Caenorhabditis elegans: one gene and its partners. The protein of the gene in region 1 purifies or fractionates together with the protein of each later gene. This does not show direct contact. Each region holds a gene or a part of one and is shown in the gene's direction. Other genes may lie near its edges.

Region 1 (4,619 bases):
ATGTATACAAAAATTTTTTTCGGCAACAAACCGTACACTAAAAATTGTTCACTGCACCAGTGCAAATTCACGGTACCGATTAAACGGGTGTAGCACCTGTATCAGTGAACTAGTAGATAGAAAGTTTTTGTAGGTCATGATTAAAATGTATATTTTTAGTGGTTTTGGTGTCAGGACTCACAATACCGATTAGAAAAACGTTTAAGAAGTATAATTTTTCAAAAGTTGAAATCAAAAGAAAACCGACCATATGCCGGTTCACATGAAACTAGGGAAGTTTGAAAACTCAAAATTCTTTCTCAGAAATTTTGTGATATGTTTTTTGATTTATCCGTCTGATAAGTCAATAATTAAAATCCAATTTCCTGATTCTTCGGCTTAAAACTCACACAACAGTTATATACTTAGATAATGTACTTATCCAATATCACTCAAAAATGTATTAAAATTTAATCTTGCTTATTAAAACCCAAAATATTCCCAAAATATCTAGCGAGTATAGTGGTGTCACCCGGTCAGATACGCAAAACCCACCTTCAATTATACTCTGCCGGACAAAATTTCGTTTAGTATAGATGTACGAGACGCGTAATTCTCAATTTTGGATATTCAGTAGCGTAATTTTTTGCTAGTAAAATTGCAAAATCTTTGTTGGGGAAAAACTGAGTATGTCTATAATTGCTCGACTATCATAAATATTAGTTACAAATTCAAAAAGACAACTGAAAATTCTCACAAAAAAAGTTTATTGTTTCCTATTATCTTGATTTGTTGTTTTTCATTCTGCCATTTCCTTCGTTTTCATAACCCTATCCATCTTATTCTTTTTTATTAGCCCCGGAGCCCCGTTCTCACATTGACATTCCATTGCCTGGAAATCCATCCAAACTAACATATTTTGCAGGTGCGCACACACTAATTACCTTCTAAGTCCAAAACGCGCGAGAGCGGCTGGGGGATCTATCTCCAGTTGTTATCTAGTGAGAATGGGTAAATAGCCAAAACGAGAGCGGGAAGAAAAGGAGAAGAGAAATAGAGAGACACAACAACGTCACAGAGAGCGAGAGACCCTAGAGTGAGAAGAAACAACCCCTCCTCATCTACGCTCACACATCCATACTCCTTCTCTGTTCTTCGCCCAGCTGCCCTGCCTTCAATGTAACCCAGCATCTTGCCCTTCTCCGACCACTCTTTTATGCCACCAGTGTCTCTCACCTTCACAACTCTCGTTTCTCTGCTTCTGGCGGACTGGGCACATCGGCAACGACATCGGCCCCCGAGCACAGAGCTACTCGCATAGAGACAACAACCACATGGGCAGCGTTCTGTCGTTTCTCTGTACTCTCTTGACTTGATGTACTCTTGAAAACCAGTGGTCTCTCTGTTCTCTCAGCGGTGGCCAGTGTGTAGTAGTGGTGGGCCTTTAGTATTCATTCACAGTTTGTGTTGCTCTTCTTTTTTTCGCGTTTGTTTATACCAACAATACCTCTTTCAGTTTATTGTTCGCTTTTTCAAATTTGAAATTATTGAACCCTAGTAACCATTAAACAATTTCTATTATCCTCTATGACAAAAAACGACGTATTTTCTTGATTTGGTCAATTTATCGATTAGAAAAATGATACATTTGTTGTTTCAGGCAAATTTCACTACCGGAAAATGCCAACTACTCGAAGTGCAAATCATCCAGCTCCAAAAAGAGCGATCTCACCGGATAGTGATGACGGAGAAGAGGTGTGTTTAGCAAATCAACATATTAAAACCAATGTGTAAAAAAATAATTTATCAAATATAATTACTCAGAACTATAAAAACAACATTACAGGACGATTTCAAATCAAAAAGGACCCCATCTGGTCGTGGACGTGGTGGCCGCGGACGAGGACGCGGCCGTGGCCGCGGAGGAGCCACCGCCGCTGGGGCAACCGTTGAAGGTGGTGAAAGCACCCGAGGAGGAGGAACTGGCCGTGGTGGGAGAGGACGTCCACGTGGATCCAAGAATTCAGACGGCGGAGCAGGAGGTCCGCCAGCCAAGCGTGGAAGAAAGAAGAAGGCAAAGTCGGAGTCTGAAGATGAGGCTGAGTCGGACCATCTTCATGACGAGCTGAAGAAGTGTCTGTCGATTTTGAAAGAGTTTGAGAAAAGCACACATGATGTAAGTTTTTTTTTTGGTGAAAGAGCTTCTATATTAAAAAAAACTATGGTCAGAAATTAACCTTTCTGTTTCTGTCACAAAATTTTAAAACCACTTAATATTAATCTAGATTATTTTCAATTTATTATACGACGCACAATTTTTAATCAATCTTGGAAACTATATCAAATGAAATAATTTATGTTAAAATTGAAAGTTGAAACTGAAGCAGAACAATCTAGAATTACACAATGTGTTTCAGTCCTTCACATTTCCATTCCGTAAGCCAGTTGACGTTGTCCTACTTGGCCTCACCGACTATCACGAGGTCATCAAGAAGCCAATGGACATGTCAACCATCAGAAAGAAGTTGATCGGCGAGGAGTACGACACTGCAGTTGAGTTCAAGGAAGACTTCAAATTAGTTAGTTTTAAGATTTGTTAAAAGTTGATATTAATTTTTATTAACTGCAGATGATCAACAATTGTCTCACTTACAACAATGAAGGGGATCCAGTAGCTGATTTTGCTCTTCAATTCCGCAAAAAATTTGCTGCCAAATGGAAGAAGGAATTCCCAGAGGACGGAGACAGTTTTGGACAGGAGAAAGGTGAAAAAGAAGGAAGTGACAATGAAGATGACGAGGAAGAGGTTGATGAAAAAGAAAAGGAAGAAGAAGTAAAAGAAGACAATGCAGAAGAGAAACCTGCTGAAGAACCTGAGCAGCCAGATGAGAAGGAAGAAGAGGATCATGAAGATGAACGAGAAGAACAGGAGGAGGAAGATTCCAGTGATGAAGAGGATGGTCTTGACGATGATGACGTCAGGCGTCACATACCAGCATGTAAGTTTCAGAAGAAAATCTATTATAACAAATTATGACCTGAAGAAACAGTATAGCGCTTAAGAGAATAAGAATAAGCAGAAATTCGTGATAGTGATGATTAAACAGTGTGCGCAGGTGCCCGATGTAGCTGGAAGATTTTGGACGTCGGAGACATCCACCGTCGTACTAGATTTTACAAAAACCTTTTTGAATATAAATCACACACCTCCGCCACTATATACCGCATAGACACTTGCGCTGAATTGGTTTTTTTTTAAAGTTAAACATCAACCCATGTAAACCAACATTTCATTTGCAGCAACATCAGCTCCAGTCGCCAAGCATCCAGAAGCCGCGATGCCAGAGCCAGCTGCCGAGCATTCCTCAATTCAGTCATCCGAAGCTCAAGCTCTGGGAGAAATTTCAGGAGCACACCCGATACACATCGGCGAGTCGGAGATTGCCGGACATGCCGCAGACTCCACTACGGGAGAGAGTCATGCCTAGGCACAAATTCAACTTCAGAAATGCTGTTGGGAATACAGTATACTGATAAAAACGAATTCAAAACAGTAATCATCTTTTATTTCACACTAAAACCATGTCAACTGATTCCCAGCCGCTTTTTGTAAACAATTTTCAACTTGGACCAATGTATGCATCTCTTAAATACCCACCCACTCATTTAGAGATTATTCCTAAAGTATTCCAATTTGTCATGCAGTTCCTTCAGTTGTAAGAAACATTATCCCGATACTTCTTTTTGTATTATGAATCTCAATCGACCCTTATGAATTTATTTGACAATTAATGCTTTTTCAGCGTTTCCCTTTCCACCCTATTCCTCATTTTATACCTCAATTTGGTCCACCAAACTTTTCCAATCGGAAATCATTCCCCCACTCACAAAATAAATGAGCACAAATCAGCAATATAGTACTATATAAAAATTTATCTCCAATCTGTATTTTGAATCAAATGTTCAAAAAAATAAATTACATCAAAATAAATATTTTTTTTCAATTCTTGTTAATCAGTCAATTGGTGGCTTCAATGTCATGAAAAATTGATCAAATGGGAAAAGTTCCTGATTGTGCACATGAATGGCTAATGTAAATTGTTGATCCAACAATGATGACCAGAGATTTTTTGCTTTAGTGTCCAGGTTTTGCTTGACATCGCTGAAAATAATTTAGAATATTAATTAAAGGAATGAGCGGATGCGTTTTGCAAATCTACGAAAAAATTTGTAATTTTTAAATTTATTCGGAAATTTGCCGGAATTGAAAAGTTTTGGCAAATCGGCAAATCGGCAAACCAGCATGTTGCTGATTTGCCAAATTCGTCGACAAAAAAATTTGCCGTCCACTCCTGGTTATGATATCAATAAAATTTCAAAACCTTTAAATCTTTGACGAGCTTACATAATTTTGGTTGCAGTTTTACGTTTCATTTTTTCAAATGTAAAGTAAGGCTTGGATTTTTGAAAAGCAATGAGTGAGTATCTGGGATGAACTGTGTTGATTAATGCATTCTCCTTCACGTAACTGTATGTTTCAGTTTTTGGATTAAATGTTGCATTTTTCTGAAAACTATACTTTTTCTTCGATTGTTCGAACAGCTCTCACCATGTAATCATATGTGCAAATATCTTTATGA
Region 2 (4,683 bases), on another chromosome or scaffold:
ACTTTCCGTGTAGAGACCCAAAAAATTTTTGTTTTTTTTTTTGAAAAATTGGAAAAAAATTTTCAAAATTTTTTTTTTCAAACTTAAATTAATTTTACTGATTTTGTTGAAGTTTTTCGCTATATTAAAATTGATTTTAAAAAATCTGCACCCATTGCTTAGGTGCAAAATGTATCCCTCTACCCCTTTTCAGGTACACTAAGAATTCAGCGAATTCAGATTTGCCAAACATCAAAACAATGGAATTTTTCATTGTTTCTCACGTGTAGCAACTGATAAAAACTGATAAAAGATATCAAAATTGATCCTATGACGTCATCATGTCTTATGACGAATTCCACCCCCCGCTGACTGTGAGAAAAGTATTTAAAAACTTGATTTTTCAAGTTTTTCCCTAAAAACTTTTTACACTTTCTCTATGTAAAAGTTCAAAAAAACATGCGAAAAACTACAGTAACCTTATTATTTTTGATATTTTTTATTCAAATTTCTGAAATTCTGACTCTACCTATCAATTATGGTGCATCGTTGAACTCTGTACACTCGGATGACCTGAGTGCTGAGGATTATCAAGTTTTGAGGAAAAATGAGACAAAAATTGAGTAAGTTCATTGATTTTTTGCTAATAGAAAGGTTTTTGAAATTTTGGAAAAATTAAAAAAAAAATTTTTTTGAAAAAAACTTGTTTAAAAATAATAATTCCGCCAAATTATCGATTTTTTTGGTCGAAATCTCAAGTTTTAAATGTTTTCTTTAATTTTATTGAATTCAGCGTCATTGATTACCCCTATCCCAAAATTTTGGGCCTTCTAGCTCAATTTTCAAGAATTGGCTGAGTAGCGACCCATTGCGATACGGAGTTTGGTCAGTTTTAGTGCAAATGGCTAAAAATTTAGGATTCTGGGTTTCCAAGTATGGCAAATTTAATGATAATGTTAGTTTTTCAAAACTATGACTCCGTATCGCAGTTCTGAGTCGCTACTCAGCCAAATTTCAAAATTTTGAGATTTTGAGCTAGAGCTCTGAAAACCTATAGATAAGGGTAATCAATCACGCTGAATCCAAAAATAACTTCTAAAACCAAAAATTTTAATTTTTTCCAGAAGAATCCACAGAATTCAGCAATTTTTCAAAGCGGAGCACCACGAATCCACGTGGCGAGACTCGATTTGCAGTGCATTCCACTCGTTTTCACTGTTCCCGCCAAACTGCTTTGCGGCTCCGCCAAACGACAAATAAATCGATATTATTGATTTATGAAATGACATGATTTTTTTCTACGACGCACAATAAATTTTTGTGATTTTCTGATTTTTTTTGATTTTTTTTTGGGTCTCGTCACGAAAAGTTGTGGGGTACTGTAGTTTTTACCGGAATTTCTAAAATTTTTATTTTATCTTTTACGTGGGTAGTTTTCGCACATTTTAAGCCAAAAATGAACAAAATATCTCAAAAACTAAAAAAGTTACAAAATTTTTAAAAAATTGAATAAAAACGTAAAAACTCAAAAATTGCCAAAAAACATTCCACGTCGGGAACCACGTCGTTTGATTTTCGAAAGTCGATAAATCGATATTGAAAAATTTATTTCACAATATTCAAGATGAAATTGTGGTCGATTTTATTGGTGACCATATCGATTTTTGGCATCTGCCACGTGGAACCATATGAGCTAAGTAAGTACGGGGGTTTGACGCCAAGATACGGTTCGATTCTACAAAATTATCGGATTTTTCGGGAAATTATCGATTTTCTTGAGAAATTATCGATTTTCTGGCGGAAATATCGATTTTCTTGCTAAATTATCGATTTTCTTGCGAAATTATCGATTTTTTCGCGAAATTATCGATTTTTTCGGGAAATATTGATTTTCGGGAAATTATCGATTTTCTGGCGAAATTACCGATTTTTCGCGAAATATTGATTTTTTCGCGAAATATTGATTTTCGGGAAATTATCGATTTTTTCGCGAAATTATCGATTTTTCGCGGAATTATTGATTTTCTGGCGAAATTATCGATTTTCTTGCGAAAATATCGATTTTCTTGCGAAATTATCGATTTTTGGCGAAATTATTGATTTTCTTGCCAAATTATCGATTTTTCGCGAAATTATTGATTTTCTTGCGAAATTATCGATTTTCTCACGTGTCGAAAAGTTGCCCTTATTTTTTATTTCTGTCAAGAATGCAATTTCAGGATTTAATATAGGAAGAGGCAGATTTTCTTGCGAAATTATCGATTTTTTCGCGAAATTATCGATTTTTTTCCCGAAATTATTGATTTTCCAGGAAATTATCGATTTTTAAAAAATTATCGATTTTTAAAAAATTATCGATTTTTAAAAAATTATCGATTTTTAAAAAATTATCGATTTTTTGCGTAATTACTGATTTTCGATAAATTATCGATTTTTTCGCGAAATTATCGATTTTTGATATTTTCGATGAACACGTGGAGTTTGTTATTTATTTCTTTTTGAAAATGACGTGGAGAGGACGGTAAAAAAAAGCCACGTGGCCATTGCGATTGCGAAATTATCGATTTTTGATAATTTATCGATTATTCGCGAAATTATCGATTTTTCAACAAAAATTTATTGATTTTTTCCAGGTTTCGTCGATTGGCCTACACCCGCCCCGCCGACCTCAACAACTCCACCAGTGTAAGTCTATCCGTTGTCCCGTTAGTTTATCCCGATGACCGCTCTTTTTCAGATCCTCAACCAAACCACCACCTGCTGAACAGTTTAATTCGCTGACCGACATTCTCGACCTAATTCCAATCGAAGTGTAAGTTGTGAAAATTTGACATCGATAATTGCTCGGCGGCGAAAAATTGGTTTTTTTTTTTCGAAAAATCGATAATCTATGTTGATTTTATTGATTTTTTTGGTCGGATTTTTGAAGAAAAATCAATAATTTTTATTGATTTTTTGTTCAAAAAATCGATAACTTGCGTCATTTCTTTTATCGAAAATCAGTAATTTCGCAAAAAAATCGATAATTTCGCAAGAAAATCAATAATTTCGCAAGAAAATCGATAATTTCGCGAAAAAATCGATAATTTCGCAAGAAAATCGATAATTTCGCAAGAAAATCGATAATTTCGCAAGAAAATCGATAATTTTGCAAGAAAATCGATAATTTTGCAAGAAAATCGATAATTTCGCGAAAAAAATCGATAATTTCGCGAAATTATCGATTTTCTTGCGAAAAAATCAATAATTTCACGAAAAAGTCGATAATTTCGCGAAAAAAATCGATAATTTCGAAAGAAAATCGATAATTTCGCAAATTTTCTGTAATTTTTCAGCTGGCTTGTTGTACTTTTCCTGGAATCTGCGTTTGTTGGAGCATTTGGAGCATATTGCTACTGGAAAGTTCAACAATGGCGCGACGAGAAAATGGCAAGGGAAAAGGCTTGGGAAAGGCGTCTGGCACGAGTTTCTGAAGTTTCGGCTTCGAAAAATCGAAACGCTGGAGGTGTGGATCCTGCAAAAAGACCGAGAGAATCAGCCAAATGGCTGAAACATGTAAAGGAGGTGACGCTGAAACGGGGTGGAGTCGAGCTGCTGCCGATGGAGGATGTGATCGTGAAAAATAAAGAGGTAGAGATTTTTCCGAAAAAATTTGAAAATTTACGTGTCAAAAATCAAGGAAAAATCTTGAAAATGAACAAAGTTATGGGTTTTCGAAAAAAAAATTTTTTTTTGAAAATTTTTTTTGTAAAAAAATTTGTTTTTTCAGAAATTCAAAAAGCCACAAAATGAGCTTCGAGAAAATGAAGTGTGGGTGGAAAGACAAACGGGCCCTGATATTGATAAAGATTCGGACCCAAAGACGGAAAATGCATTGGATGAGCAGGATTATCAGCTGGAAGATGGATGGCACGGCAAGTCAGGTATGGTTTTAAAATCAGGTTTTAAGAAATTTTACTTTAAACATTGCAAGTTATTAAATTAAACATTAAACTCACAAAAAGATTGCGCTCATTTTAAGACTATATTCAATCGAATATCTTTAAAATTCGCAGAGTTATGTAGTTTTGAAAATAAAATTTGAAAATTTGAAATTTTTTTTTAAATTTTTATTTTCTTGAAAGCTCGAGCTAACTTTCAATTCAAAACCGATTTGGCGTGAATTTTCAGATTTAGCACGCCTAGAGCTTTCAAATAACACCCATCATGACTAGGTTTCGCCTGTTTTGGGTCCCCAAGTTTTCAAAGTGGACGGAGCTTAGTCAATATGGGTGTTAAATGGAAAGTCTTGACACGCTGAATTAAAAAATGAGCAAAAAATTGTAAAAATTTTTTATGTTTTCCAAAAATCTCAAAAAAAAATTTTTTTTTTTTTAATTTTTTTCTAAATTTTTAGACTTTTTTTGCACCAACTGAGAAATAATTAACAAATTCAAAATAATCACATTGAGACCTTTAAAATAAAACCCATCATGACTAGGTTCCGCACATTTTGGGTCCCGCCACGAAAATGCCGCCGGGAGTACTCTGGTTTTCGTGGTGGGACCCAAGAATTTGCAATTTTTAATCTGAAACGTTCAAATCGGTTTCGTAGAAAATTTTAAAAGTTTTTGAAACAAAAATTTTGAAAAAAAATTTTTTTTTCGAAATTAATTTTTTTTGGAAATTTTGAAATTTTGTTTTTTTTTCTACTTTCAAGCCAAA
Region 3 (5,596 bases), 3.1 Mb from region 1:
AAGTATAAAAAATGACGTCACTCATTTGCGCAGAAATTTAAATTTAATTCGGCCGAAATCATAAAAAATTTAGAAAAAGTTTATAATTTTTTTACAGTCGTAATCTGTCCTTACAGCCCATTTTCTATCATTTAAAGCAATTATAAATATTAAAATTGTGATGCAATTTTTATTAAAATTTTTTGATCTACTCGCGCTGCACTAAAAATATCCATGACCTCCCTTCTGTTTTTTTTTACAATTATTCTTGCGAAATTGGGGGTGCGAGTTCTTTTATGATTTTAGTTTACCTTTTCTGTGAAATTTCTGCTACATTTTTACATTTTTTAGCACCTGTCGTACATTGAAAGCATTTGATAAGTTCCAGGATGATTGCTAGATTATATTTCCACATAGATTTCTGTTTTCTTCTCTACATTCTGAAACTTACTGCGAACATGCTAGTTTTTGTTTACATTTTACTATCACATATGTATAATAATTGGACCTATGACCGTCATTACCATTTTCCGTAACGGCCTTGCGCCCACCGTAACGCTCTGTTTCGTGCGCAATCACACGAGAATCCGTGAACATTTGTCATATGTTCATTGAGTTAAAAGAGTCCCATTGTTAGTCTAGAGCGTCAAAAATTAACTGCGCTAGTGCCTCTGGATGCCGTGTCGTCGTGTGAGCGCATGTGTGTGCGTGTTTGTGTGTTTGTGTTTTGTTGACGTGGGGGTGCAGTTGGCTATATGTGAGCGTGTGTGTGCGTGTGTGTGAGTGTTCTATGAGTGTGCGCGCGAACGAATGTAGGGGGGTTTTGTGTGCTGCGTGCGTGGCATCCGCCGAGGGGCCCTTTGCCCTGTCCAACGAGTCCTCTTCCTCACCATATTACCCACCCAGTTATTGTTGTGGGTGACGATAAACACTAAGCACCACCACCTGCGTGCGCGTCTTTTCACTTTCATTTGTTCACCTCAGTTTTCAACTTCGTTCCTCCTAATTTTTTTTCAATCAGATAATAGGTTAGAAATTAAAATTATGCACTGACCAAAATAGAAAAGCACTGACCAAAATAGAAAAGCACTGACCAAAATAGAAAAGCACTGACCAAAGTCGAAAAGCACTGACCAAATTAGTAATTGCACTGACCAAATCAGAATGCACTAACCAAATTAGAAATTCCACTGACAGAAATTGAGTCAGGTTTCCTTTTTTTTATCCTTGGGCAAAACTAAAACTTTTTTAGCTCTACTCATTGAATTTCCAACCAAAATTTTGCATGCCAACCGTGCAATTTATACATTGTGCTATTTTTTTCAATGGTACTCTTATATTCCCATTTTTCCACAATTGTAGTTACAAGCAAAAATTAAATCTATAGCTATGATATGAATCTAGCTATCTAGATACCTAGACATTATTTTTCGAGAGCCCCAACGCGATGCATGATTCTTTCAAAGTTTGAATTTCTCATAAAATTCTATGTTTTGAACTAACCATGTTACTTGGAATGCAATCTAGCTTCAAGAATTTGTTTTGATTTTTCCCAACAATTACTAGCAAAGGAAATTCAAAAATTATATAATTTTGTGTAAAATGCTCACAATGTTTTTTTGCGGTAACAAGAGTAGGTTAAAAACAAACAAATAGCTATAACATTTCTCTTTTTTATTTTAATTCAGCAAATCTTTTGATCTAGTTTTGAAATGTGACACCGCCAGCTTCTATTCGTTATAATTTTACTCATAAAATAAATAGTAAAACTGAATGTTGTAAGCACTAAATTATATGTTTTTTTTATTCGGTTTTTCCTACAATTTAAATTTTCAATTATTAACAGGCTCTCAATATTGCACCTATCAGTTGTTTTAAACTCTGACAAATTTTCATGTTAACTTTGTTCAGAAGCTATGCAAAACGATAGATCTCGCTGGAAAACCGAAGGACACTCGAGTGAAGTACATGAGGACTTTCTCAGGAATAGTGTTCAAAGAAGAAATCAATTGGAGAAGGTACATAATGTTTAGAGCGTTTGTATATTCTTATATATAATAATTTTTTACAGATTCTCTTTTCCTACAATAATCTTCATCGTCTGGATCCAAGTTACGGGGAAATCGTTCAAAGAGCTTTTGAATCAAATGATCCTATTGCGCTGTGGAATTTTGAGAATGAGGTTCTGTTGAACTCAAAAGACGTTGATGATCTCATGCAGCAACAGTTCGCCGCTCCCGTCCAAAATAATCAGTGCCCAAATCCTTATCAAAATTGCGGATATCAGAACAATTTGGTGAGCACGTTGGATGCTTCATTTAAGGTTTGTTTTTCAATTTGAAAAGTTTGTTCATGAGATATTGAGAATTTCCAATCTCAGGCAATTTGAAAGCTTATTTCGTTGATAATTTTTTGAAATGGGAATACTAGATTGCAATAAAAATTAAGCGAACGGCGAAACTAAAAGCTGACAATTAAACTTTTAATGATTTTAGAAACTCGTTGATTTAATGGAAAAAATCGGTTTTTTTTTCAATCGAGAGGAGTAAACAAGTTTTAATTTTTAGAAATGTAGTTTTTCACTGTTTAAAAACCCCAAGGCCATAAGAATTTCTTTAAAACTTTGAAACAATTGCAATTTTCAGGTACACCCATTTGCTCAACATGGTAATTACATGCCACCTCCGGCACAGTTTGCATCAAATCCAAACGTCTTTCCGCAACCTGTTCCTCCATACACTATGGATTTGGCAGCGTCGAATTCAGGATTTGCACACCCACAGATTGTAAACCAGCCTATGCATCCACACGTGCCTGTTGGTTCCCAGAATTACAATCCTCCCCAATTTGTGCCAGCTCCACCAACCATGATGCCAGTCGGAGCTGTAATGGTTTCGCAAGGATCGTATTCAATGTCACCACCTCAAATTGATACTTCAAAGCCACCTTCTGGATATGGATTCTCGTCTCCCATCTTTCCATCACCGTCTTACAGTCAATATTCTGGTCCACCTGCCAACGAAGGATTCCCAGACATTATTTATGATAACAATGGAGTTGCATATTGTCGAGTTGTCAGCGCACCTGTATGCGTCGTTTCCATGTCACAATCGGGATCATCAGTATGCTCATCACAATCGTTTTCTTCCGGACAGGTAATAAACAATATTATCGACTACAACAAAAACAACTTAACTGCTGCTTGGGTATGCCAGAATTTGAAAATTTGAACATGACCGCTTTTAGGGAAGTTATATGAAAAATTTAAAAGTTGGGAGATTAACTGGTTTGCATCTAAAACCATTTTAGTAACCCGCTTCTTGTCTGACCATGAATATCAGACACACTCCTAAATTTATGACAACTATCATTAAATGTTCCTGAAAGTGATAATGATCAAATGTTTAAACTTGAACACACTCACGCAGCACTTGACTAATTTATAATGCTATATTACAAAATGGTTTTTTCAGAGCGACATATCTATGTCCAGCAGACCGCCCATCAATGGATCTAGTGTTGGAAATGGTTCGTTATCACCCATGACTGATAGTGTCAGGGAAGAATCGGAAGACGAAGATTATGGAACGTTGACGCCTGTTGGTCAGCAAGATTGCGACTTGGATTCAGTAGACACGGAAAGTGTTGCAAATGAGCCAGAACCTTATAGCAGTACAATGTCTGAAATGCCACCATTAGATGATGTTGATGATATAATGGAGAACCTTGATCTTTCGAAAACACTGATTGAGCCGGAAACTTTGGAACACTCGGATAACATGAGCGTAGTTGAAATCAAATCTGAACCTGTATCTGAAATGACGACTGACTCGTTGATTGTTGATGATGACAGGGATACGTCAATATCTGAAATCATTAAGTATCTGGATACGTCGGATGACGTTTTGGAATCATGGCAGGAGGCGACGGGCAGGAAGAAATGGTGATTTTTTGATATTACTGCTAAAATGATAAATTCTGTAATTTTCAGTTTTGTACCACAGAAAACACAAAAACTCGTCTACCCGCTGCCATTGTCAAAAGTCGAAAAACCATTGCAAAAATGTCAGCAGACTTTGGCCGCTTCCACCATTGACGAGGATAGCAAAGAAGCATCAACTATTGCTCTACCCGACGCCAGGAAAAAGTTGACAAAAAAAGAAAAGCGCCTTATGGCTGCACAGAAGGCAAATCAATTGGAAACTGATGACGATGTACTGGAAGCAGCATATCGAGAAAGACAGAAGCATGTGGAGCAAGCTGGTGGTGACTACTCAAGCTCAGGACAGAAAGACCAAAGTGAGATTCATCATCGCCATTTGGTACTAATATTTTCAATTTCAGAAAAGAAGCGAGGAAAAAGACCCGTCTCGAATCCACCGCCATCGTTGATCAGTCCCCAAATCCTGCATGCAGTTCAAATGGCAATTGCTAACAGAGCAAAGAAGATTTCAGAATCGGGTCGTCCAATTTTTCACGAAAATTTCTCATATCAAAAATTCTATGAAACGGTGGATACTTTTGTGAAAACTTGGGAAGAAAATTCGAATGAAATGAACAAAGTGTTACAGTTTATTGAAAAACGCATTTTGGCATTCAAAATGGTGAGTTTTAATGAATTTTGGTACTTTTAAGTGTCTCAAACTGACTATTTACAGGTTCAACGTCCGCAAAGTCTCTCGCGTATTACAATCTACGAGCAACTTCAGCTGAACTTGCCGCCAGCTATTCTTCCGGAACTATGCTTTTTGGCCGGTCTCACCAGCGATTCTACTGACAAATTAGAGTATTACGAAGAAATTTTCTTCAACCTTTTCTAGATTCCGTTATTGTTTGTACACATTGTACCCAGTGATCAGATGTTTTAACTGTGATTAACCATGACCATTCAGTTGTATTTTTCAGTCCATTTAATTACGTGTCATTGTCTTCAATTTTAATTTATTGACTTTATGGGTAAATCAATTTATGTATTGAGATTTTTAGAATAAAAATGTCTAGTCTTGTATTTCTTCATCTTTTCAGAGGCTCTAACCAGTTTCAAACTTCTACCAATTTTAAATTCAAGTTTAGAAAGGGTTGAATAACTCAAGAGACGCGTTTTTGACTTCACAAACAAATTAGGCAAACTGGACAGACGGACATTATTATTTTGTTGATTATTTATTATTACCTCAAACATTTAATTCCCAAAATCAAAATCAAAATCAAAAAATCAAAAGAGATCGTGCTTAAGTGAAACTAGATGAAGAAGTTAAATATAGCTATTTTTGTCTACGAAATATTTTTGAAATTGAAACATTTTATCCAATCTGTATGTTTTGAAATTAGGCTGACGAAATCTTTTGAAAAAAAAAAACGCTATCGAAGAGGATACAACTTTTGCTCATTTTTTCCTTATGGCTTACAACAAATTGAAAAATTAAAGCAATAAATCTAAATTGATAGCCCCCTTAATCTATTTTTCAATCAATCCGTACACATTTCGGCAGCGTTATGCTCACCGTCATCACATTCATCGGGTCTTGTCAACGTATCCTATGTGCACTGCTGTGTGCGTACTCATTATCTGATATAGCAGTCTCGATGTTTCTCCCCCTCCCGGGTGAGTGGCACA

Evidence for each region.
Region 2: the proteins of F13C5.2 (region 1) and Y54F10BM.3 fractionate together in Caenorhabditis elegans (co-fractionation; one large-scale study listed by BioGRID). This does not show direct contact.
Region 3: the proteins of F13C5.2 (region 1) and C02F12.8 fractionate together in Caenorhabditis elegans (co-fractionation; one large-scale study listed by BioGRID). This does not show direct contact.

Annotation. Positions count from the first base shown.
Region 1 is NC_003284.9:592,321-596,939, forward strand, and holds F13C5.2 (Bromo domain-containing protein), read left to right. Parts: upstream 1-1,639; 5' UTR 1,640-1,659; coding exon 1,660-1,734; intron 1,735-1,825; coding exon 1,826-2,155; intron 2,156-2,396; coding exon 2,397-2,558; intron 2,559-2,608; coding exon 2,609-2,978; intron 2,979-3,279; coding exon 3,280-3,467; 3' UTR 3,468-3,980; downstream 3,981-4,619. Other genes in the region: F13C5.3 (Peptidase_M13 domain-containing protein), read right to left, coding at 3,994-4,141, 4,385-4,545, 4,589-4,619.
Region 2 is NC_003281.10:2,280,483-2,285,165, forward strand, and holds the start of Y54F10BM.3 (Tyrosine-protein phosphatase domain-containing protein), read left to right. Parts: upstream 1-1,542; 5' UTR 1,543-1,603; coding exon 1,604-1,676; intron 1,677-2,612; coding exon 2,613-2,664; intron 2,665-2,716; coding exon 2,717-2,791; intron 2,792-3,314; coding exon 3,315-3,609; intron 3,610-3,748; coding exon 3,749-3,902; intron 3,903-4,683. Other genes in the region: Y54F10BM.22 (Neuropeptide-Like Protein), read left to right, coding at 439-602, 1,104-1,239.
Region 3 is NC_003284.9:3,689,533-3,695,128, reverse strand, and holds C02F12.8 (uncharacterized protein), read left to right. Parts: upstream 1-1,890; 5' UTR 1,891-1,895; coding exon 1,896-1,997; intron 1,998-2,050; coding exon 2,051-2,302; intron 2,303-2,624; coding exon 2,625-3,134; intron 3,135-3,452; coding exon 3,453-3,922; intron 3,923-3,970; coding exon 3,971-4,278; intron 4,279-4,323; coding exon 4,324-4,583; intron 4,584-4,637; coding exon 4,638-4,799; 3' UTR 4,800-4,986; downstream 4,987-5,596.